Linked DNA regions of Neodiprion lecontei. The protein of the gene in region 2 interacts with the protein of the main gene of each other region in a pairwise test. Links are inferred from orthologs where the notes say so. Each region holds a gene or a part of one and is shown on either strand. Other genes may lie near its edges.

Region 1 (3,757 bases), on a different chromosome or scaffold from region 2:
ATTGGTTACTATTCATTCCTTTGCATGATACAACGAATCCTCACAAACAAAAGCTTCCGAGTTACCGAAAATGTGAGAATCAAAAAAAAATTTATTTTCCCAATATGTACTTTCTCCTTATTTTCAGGAATCTTGCAATGCAATTAGAGAAACTAATAAATATGTTCTATTGCTAATTCGTTTATCAGAAACAACGACATATTCAAATTCTTGATCAATTAAGGGGGTATAACTGTGGAGATTTTGTGATGCGTAAGATATCAAAGTCCAAAAGTTTATATAAATTTATGTAAATGAGAAATATTTCTTTTGAATGATACTTGTAAAAAATTTTAATGATATAAAGTAACGGTATTTTCAAGATCATACATGCTGTGTACGTGAGGAACAATTATTAACAATTCCTGCATGATACAAAAAATAACTAGCAGTCTTAGCTGAATTCGAAGAATGTTTGAAGGAATAGAAAAATTCGACAATACTTTCGTCGCGCGACAAAAATTCAACAATGTGAAATTCAAAATTTCTGAACAATATCGCAGAGCAATCACACAAAATGCTCTGTTCCAAGTTCACAATAATCCGGAAAGATCGATCCATTCCAGATTCTATGGCAAAGAATTATACAAATCCTAAGAAATGAAAATATTGCATTATTATTCGGAAATTCTTTTATTCTTTTCAGTTTGATTGTTCCATCTTTCCTGTAGATATACAGTCTGCATTATTCGGAATTCTAAGTTTCGAATAATCGGTTAACTTGAAGGGAAATTTTTTCCGGAAGATATTGCAACAATTCGGTCCCTCGGTCATTATATGATTCACAATGACGTTCCCGCTTCCACATATGAAAAATAATAATCAAACGAAAGTGTATTGAGAGTGTGAAGGAAAGGCACTGCAGGTTCAATCCCAAATAATGAAGCCGGAAGTGACACCGTATGAAATAGTGATCAGGAATCGCTGAATGTTTCACGAATGTATTGTACATCGATTTTGTACTGATAACAATCCATTTATCGGTTCGGGTTTCTTCGGGAATTTTCGGAGCCACCTTCCACTACCACGTCGTATCCGCGACAGTGGCGTCACCGATACTGTGGCGGTATTCGTCGTTTGATCATTGGTCTCCACTCCCCAAGTTTTGCGTTCACTTTTTAACTGGGCAGTTCAGGTACAGCCTTCCAGTGCTTGTATATCGCGAGTTAGTACGAAGTTACCAAATCGAGTGACCGCATCGCGAAGTACGCCGCAGGAAAGCAACTCGTTCATCGTTAAAAATGGTTCTCCAAATTACTAGCTCGGTAAGTCCACTCCCTTTAACAATAAGTCAAAAATCGGAAGAACGCGAGAGAGTGAGAAACAAAATGAATACAAGTGACATGTTGAACGAGAACACTAACCAGATGAACAAGTTTAACCTAAAGATTATTACGCTGGTGAAGAAATAGGCGGGCGGATAACCTTGATAAGAAATAGAGAAGGAAATAATTGCTGCGTGGCGTGTTAGTTGTAGCTGGCAGAGTGACCGATGGACGTATGTCTTATTCCCGAAGTTAACCAAGTCCAGCGTTATAACCGTTATATCTTTAAGACTGTGCCGATTTGTAAAGAATATCACACTCGGTTGAACGCGTTCGTAGAGTGTGCTCTCAGTGCACACAGGTAGAAACTTTAAAGCCTAAGTACGCATTAGTACAGCACGTTTACGCATCCGAATTGTTTATCTGTTGATAATTGACCAACTATCTGAGCGATATCATTTGATAAAATGTCGGCACTCCTCTTCGCACTATTGCCTCATCAGGCTCACATACAACTTCGGCATTTTTGCCGCCTCTTTTCGGCCTCTTTTATCCTTCTCTTCGACTTTCGCTCCTCGACCGCCCGTATCACACTTGCTTTTGCAATATTGATCACACCAGAAATCGCGAGCCAAATAATTACGAATTCGAGAAATGTGATTCTCATTATGCAACACTATGCTCGGACATTCGTTTTTGTCCTTAGAGTACGTAGTTTATGCAGTACACTCTACGCAATCTGCAATTCGTCGGCTTAAGTACATGTAGGTTTATCGACTATGTAGTTCGCAATGCTCGATGCAATGTGCCGGAAATACTTTATTGATAACCGGCAAACAACCGTCGCTGCGATTACGAATGAAAACAGGCGTGATTCTCTAATTAACTGAACTGGATGCGTCGCTGATTTATCATGTTGAAGTTGGTAACGTTATCGTAACGATTTATGCGATTCATGCGAAGGAAAAACCGTCATAAAACAAAACATAATCATACTTCATGACATTGTAAAAATAAGAAAATAGTGATTTTTTCCCTATTGTTTCCTTAGGAACTTCAACCTTGTGATAATCTTGATTTTTAATGAACATAATCTAGCTCTTCGATGATATAACTTGGAATGTAGGTAGATTAGGAGTCATATTCACTTACGTAACAAATGACGATGAAAATAAATTCAAATACTTTCTTTATCACCGCAATGACGAAATCTATGTTAGATATATGTGCAGACGGATTGCAAAAAAGCGGAAAGACGATTGTGTGCGTTAGCTAATTTTCGCCCAGATATATTGTAACTATTTGCTATTTACCGAATTTTCGATATTTCGGTATCGGTATTGACAGAAGGTTCCCATACCGATACATTTCGAGCAAGGAGATGCCAAAAAAAATTCGGTATACCGAAATACCGCGCACCCCTAATTGTAACATGAATTGGCTCACGGATTTGTTTGGTTCTTTACTTTTCTCGTGACCCGGTGATTTGATGCACCTTTTAAGGACGTGCCCTTTAGTCGATTTCGACGTTGTCGTATATATCTCCAAATATCGAAGTCCACGTGTTTCAAACGCGAAAAAGAGCTTAACAGCCCAATTCTATACACCATTCTGAACAAAAACACTCGAATACATTTCACAATACAAATGGCACGGGTTTTACAAAATCGAAGAAATCGTAGAAATCATACCATTCCTTTATTTTTATGTTAAATGAAAATATTTTAGAATGGTTTTATTCAGAACTGTATGTAGAATGGGGCTGTTATGCCCTTTTTCACGTTTGAGATACGTGGACTTGGATAATTTGAGATGTATACGATAATGTCGAAATAGACTAGGGAACTTCCTTAATTAAGGAGATGTAGGAGTTAAGAAACAACGATTGAAGCGATTACAGCGTCACCGTATTCTGTTACACCGATTTTGTATCCATATTCTACATACAGTAAGTATCGAACATCTCTTAATTAATAGCGGGCACATCTTTATAACGGATGTTCTTAAAAAAATTTCCAGCAAAATGTAATAGTAATAGAACGGAAATTCTTCCGAATAGCAGATGTTGTCATCAGCGGACAATACTTTCATCCCCAAATAGGTTTCCGCTATCAGGAAGTTTCACTGTTTAATTCGTGTTTTAAATCATGGTTTAAAAATGTACTCAAAAATAAAAAGACCTATTGAATTTACGGCAACAAATCCTTTCTCCGTGTAGTATACAATGGAAACGTAATAATTACTTGATATTCTCCGCCTGTCTTACGGATCATGTCAATCGGTTATGTTGGGCAAGGAAAGTTGAAATGTATAAATACTTTGTTCACGAAAAATTGCATTTTCTTGACTACGTGGTAATATAATCTGTATCTCATGGAATACAATTCAATACTATTCATATTACGTCAGGTAAGGAGAATGTACTGCGGGGAACTAAATGTTTTCGACACCGC
Region 2 (3,757 bases):
AACGTCTTGTCACAATATCGCTCAAGAGTTTTACACTTTTATTCCCGCGTTCCTCGGCTGATTTACCGTGTAAAAATTAGTGGGCTCCGGCGTTGCTGCAGCTGCGGTACAAAGTTTGATACAAATACTCGGTTAACCATCGGTGCGGTATGTAATAAGGCGGTATTCGCGGCACGCCGAACATTTCTTGAGGCGGTTTTTCCTTTCCTTTTCCTTCAATGCCTCTTCCTCTTTTTCCCTCTCCTCCTCCACCTTTCTCTGATGCCTCCTCGCGTTCTTCTTTACGTTATTTTCTCTTCTGTTATTTTTATCTCCACCACGTATACCCGGTTTCTTGCTTCTTTTACGATTCACGTATTTTTATACGCCTTATTTCCACTGTACCTCCGTTTTTTTTTTTTTTTTTTTTATTTCTTATATTCTCCTTCTTTCTCTTTCACCTTTTCCTTTTCTTACGCCACTCGTTTCTCTCCTCTCTCATGAAACGCGCATACTCTTATTTACGCACACATACGCATACATGTATGCATGTGCGTTATACTGTATATAACGGGTATTTTTAGACACCGAACGGAATCTCCGCGGATGTTACACACTCGCGATAATTCACACTCTCCGGTTTATTACAATCCCGTCGCGACGTACAAACTTATCAACAAAACGCGCATTCTGCATTCCCGTCATACCGATCAAGCGGTTTATTCTCCCCGTCGAAATTCTATCGAACCCAGCGTAATCTCACGAGCAGCGTGACGTATCGATGTACCAATTATTTTACGTGGTTTAAATTTTCCCGCCAAATCTAGAATCCCGATGGCGCGCTGTTTAATGTTCAAACTCGACTCACGATCGGTACGTCAAATTTTTACTCGAACCAGTTTAACTCATTTTCTCTCAGTGTCAAAGATTTTTACGCACCACGTTTTTCAATTCACTTTGCACGGTGCATGAAAGTCGATTAATCTCACAGAGTATAACGATCCTCGTTGCGAGATTCGTTTCGCTGCATCAGTTGCCGTTGGTAATGATAAAACTTTAATCTTTGCGAGTCGTTTTCTTATTTCTTTTATTTTATTTATCTTGCCGTTTTTTTTTTTGTTTTGTTTTTGTTTGTTTTTTTTTTTTCTCTTTTCCTTTTACCGCGAACGAACGAAGATAACCTTTTATGAGCGTATACGCAATATATTTACGGGCGTTAATGAGAGTTAATGTCACTGCGGTATGTATGTAACGTACGTGTATAAAATAGTCGCACTAATACCATGATTAAGATTTCTCGTTCCAGCACCTTTTCTTTTCGTTCGTTTCACGTATTTTTTTTTTTTTTTTCTTCTCCTCTTTAATTATTTATTATGTTTTATTCTTTTTTTAAATTGCGAATGTATTTTTTCCTCGGCGTTCTCGAAACACACAGTTATACTCTCGTGTGAAATTTTTGGCAATCGCACGCACGGGACCAGTTATACGTAAAGTAGATTGAAGAAATCCGAGAGAAAAACAAACACCCCCCTTCCCCCCTCTCCGCAAATCTCGCCGCATGCGACGTTGCCTTTCGGCATCATTCTCATACGGACAATACAGTATCGTAGTTCGGTTGAAAATTAAATAAATAAACGAACAAGAACAAAACTGCGCAAGACGTTCGAACAAATTGACAAACGATTTTACATCCTCTTCCTTCTTCCGTTATCCCTTCCTTCCGCTCCGCAGACTCGTACTTTACAATAATTATTCTTCGTCTCGTTTCGTCTCGGGCTTGTTTTTGTTTGTTTGTTTTTTTTTTTTCTTCTCTCTCTTTTGCGATTGAAAAACAGATGAACGAACGAGAGAGAAAGAAACCAAAAAAAAAAAAAAAAAAAACAGCGTCAGAGATGAAAAAAAAGTTTCAAACAAATTCGAATCGCTTGTCCTTCCTTTCCTGTCCTCCTCCTCCTCCTCCTCCTCTTCCCTCTTTGATATCTCGGCGTTATCTCGCTGCAGGTACGAGCGTCGATTACGATATCCGCAGTCAGAAGTCCGCAAGTAGAGCCGCTCTTTTCAGTCTGCACCGTGATACGTCGGAGTCCACCGTGTTCTCCGAGTCTTAGGCGAACCCCGCGTGTCGTTTCGATGCGCGGGAGTGAACCCCCGCCTTCAGTTTGGAAGGGGGCACGGAGAGGGAAGATGATATTCGTGGTGGGGGGTGTCCGCGCCTCTCTCTCTTTTTCTCTCTCTCTCTCTCTCTCTCTCTCTCTCTCTCTCTCTCTCTCTCTCTCCCTCTCTTCTCTCTCCCAGTCACCGTTTAATCCAAATCCCTACGGGTGCAAAGAGAGTTAGCTCAGTGAGGGCGGGAACGTCGAACGATCCTTGTTAGTGGATATTTTTCGTCTGTTCCGATAAACAGTGACTCGAAACAGAAGGTAAAAAACGATAATTAAATATTCGAGGTAACTGAATTTTCGTGCGAAATGCGGTGCAAAAAAAAAAAAAAAAAATTGGTACAATATTTATTTATTTATTATTTTTTTTCTCGATTAAACCGCGGATCGACGATTAAACGTTCTTCTTTCTTTTTCTACAATTTTTCAGTCTCTCTCTCTCTCTCTCTCTCATTCTCTCTCCCAGTACACGATTTTTCGCTTTCTTCCCTGGGGGTGTTGGCGGTAGGGCAGGGCGAGGGGTGGAGATTCGGGGGAGCGGAAATCGCGAGGCGCAGGCCGCGGATCGAGCTCTCCCGATTAGAGGCGTGAAAATCGGCTTTTGTGTATAAGCAATTTATTAGTATGCCAGCGCGCGCGAGGCCGCCCGATAGACTGAGCTGGCGAACAGGCCGTCTGGCTCACTGGCCAAGCCGGAGAGCCGAGAGCCAGAGGCAGAATTGTAGTAGAGGAAGGAAGGCAGGCAGGCGGCAGGCGGAGCCGCGGTGGGCACAACACTTGCTTCGAGCAAAGCGGCGCGCCGGTTCCCTCCCGGGTTCCCGGTTCCACGTTCCCGGTTCCCCGCCGTCCCTTTTCGCCCCCCCCCCACCCCCGACCCCCGCCGCAATCGAAAATTGAAAATCACCCTCGGGAAACGCGGACGAAAACGGATCCTCTTATCACACTTCCGAAGCCCCCTCTTGATCCGTTCAATCCTCTGGCGAGTCTTTCATTCGTGCGTCGTAAGCTGCGATATAAATCCTCCAGTCTCGAATACCCCTCAAGCAATTGTTCGTTGACGATTGGCCGAAGAACAAGTTCACCTTTGATTTCACCAACTTTAACACCGTCACTGCGCAACGGGGCGGGGTGGGGTGGGGGTGTTGACTGGATAAAAATGACGTCATCGTTCCATTTCGGAAAGCGTTGGAAATTTTTCGAGTCGTATTGTATGCATGTTTCCTTCGTGTCTGGCGACTGATTTCGCTTTGTTGACGATTGATTATTATTTTTCTTTTACTTCTTTTTTTTTATCCTCTACTTTTATCGACGATTGCCTTTCGTTTCTGTAACGTGTGAGATTCGTCAGAGTTCGTTGACTCGGGTTTTAAGGTCGGAATATAATCGAGAGGTTGAATGGTCACCGAGATAGAGATTTCGGAGGTCTGATGACGTTTGTTTTTCACCCTGCGAGTTGATGTAATTTTAGATTTCGTTCGGTTACTGAGCATTTTGAGATACGATAATTGTGAACTGTGAACAGATACCGAGGATTGCAAAGAATGAAAGAAAACGAGAAGAGCAGGAAAGATTCGATTCGGTCATTATTCGATGTTCTTACGATCGCTTTTCGAGAATAT

What was found.
Region 1: the proteins of follistatin-A (region 2) and thioredoxin-2 interact in binary tests that used the Homo sapiens proteins (3 or more experiments, as listed by UniProt). The link is inferred for Neodiprion lecontei from reciprocal best matches to the Homo sapiens genes FST and TXN.

The regions. Positions count from the first base shown.
Region 1 is NC_060262.1:7,925,293-7,929,049, reverse strand, and holds the start of thioredoxin-2, read left to right. Parts: upstream 1-1,112; 5' UTR 1,113-1,280; coding exon 1,281-1,304; intron 1,305-3,757. UniProt on the Homo sapiens protein: Participates in various redox reactions through the reversible oxidation of its active center dithiol to a disulfide and catalyzes dithiol-disulfide exchange reactions.
Region 2 is NC_060260.1:38,652,867-38,656,623, reverse strand, and holds the start of follistatin-A, read right to left. Parts: upstream 2,799-3,757; 5' UTR 1-2,798. UniProt on the Homo sapiens protein: Multifunctional regulatory protein whose primary function is to antagonize members of the transforming growth factor beta (TGF-beta) superfamily including activin, myostatin, GDF11 or bone morphogenetic proteins (BMPs).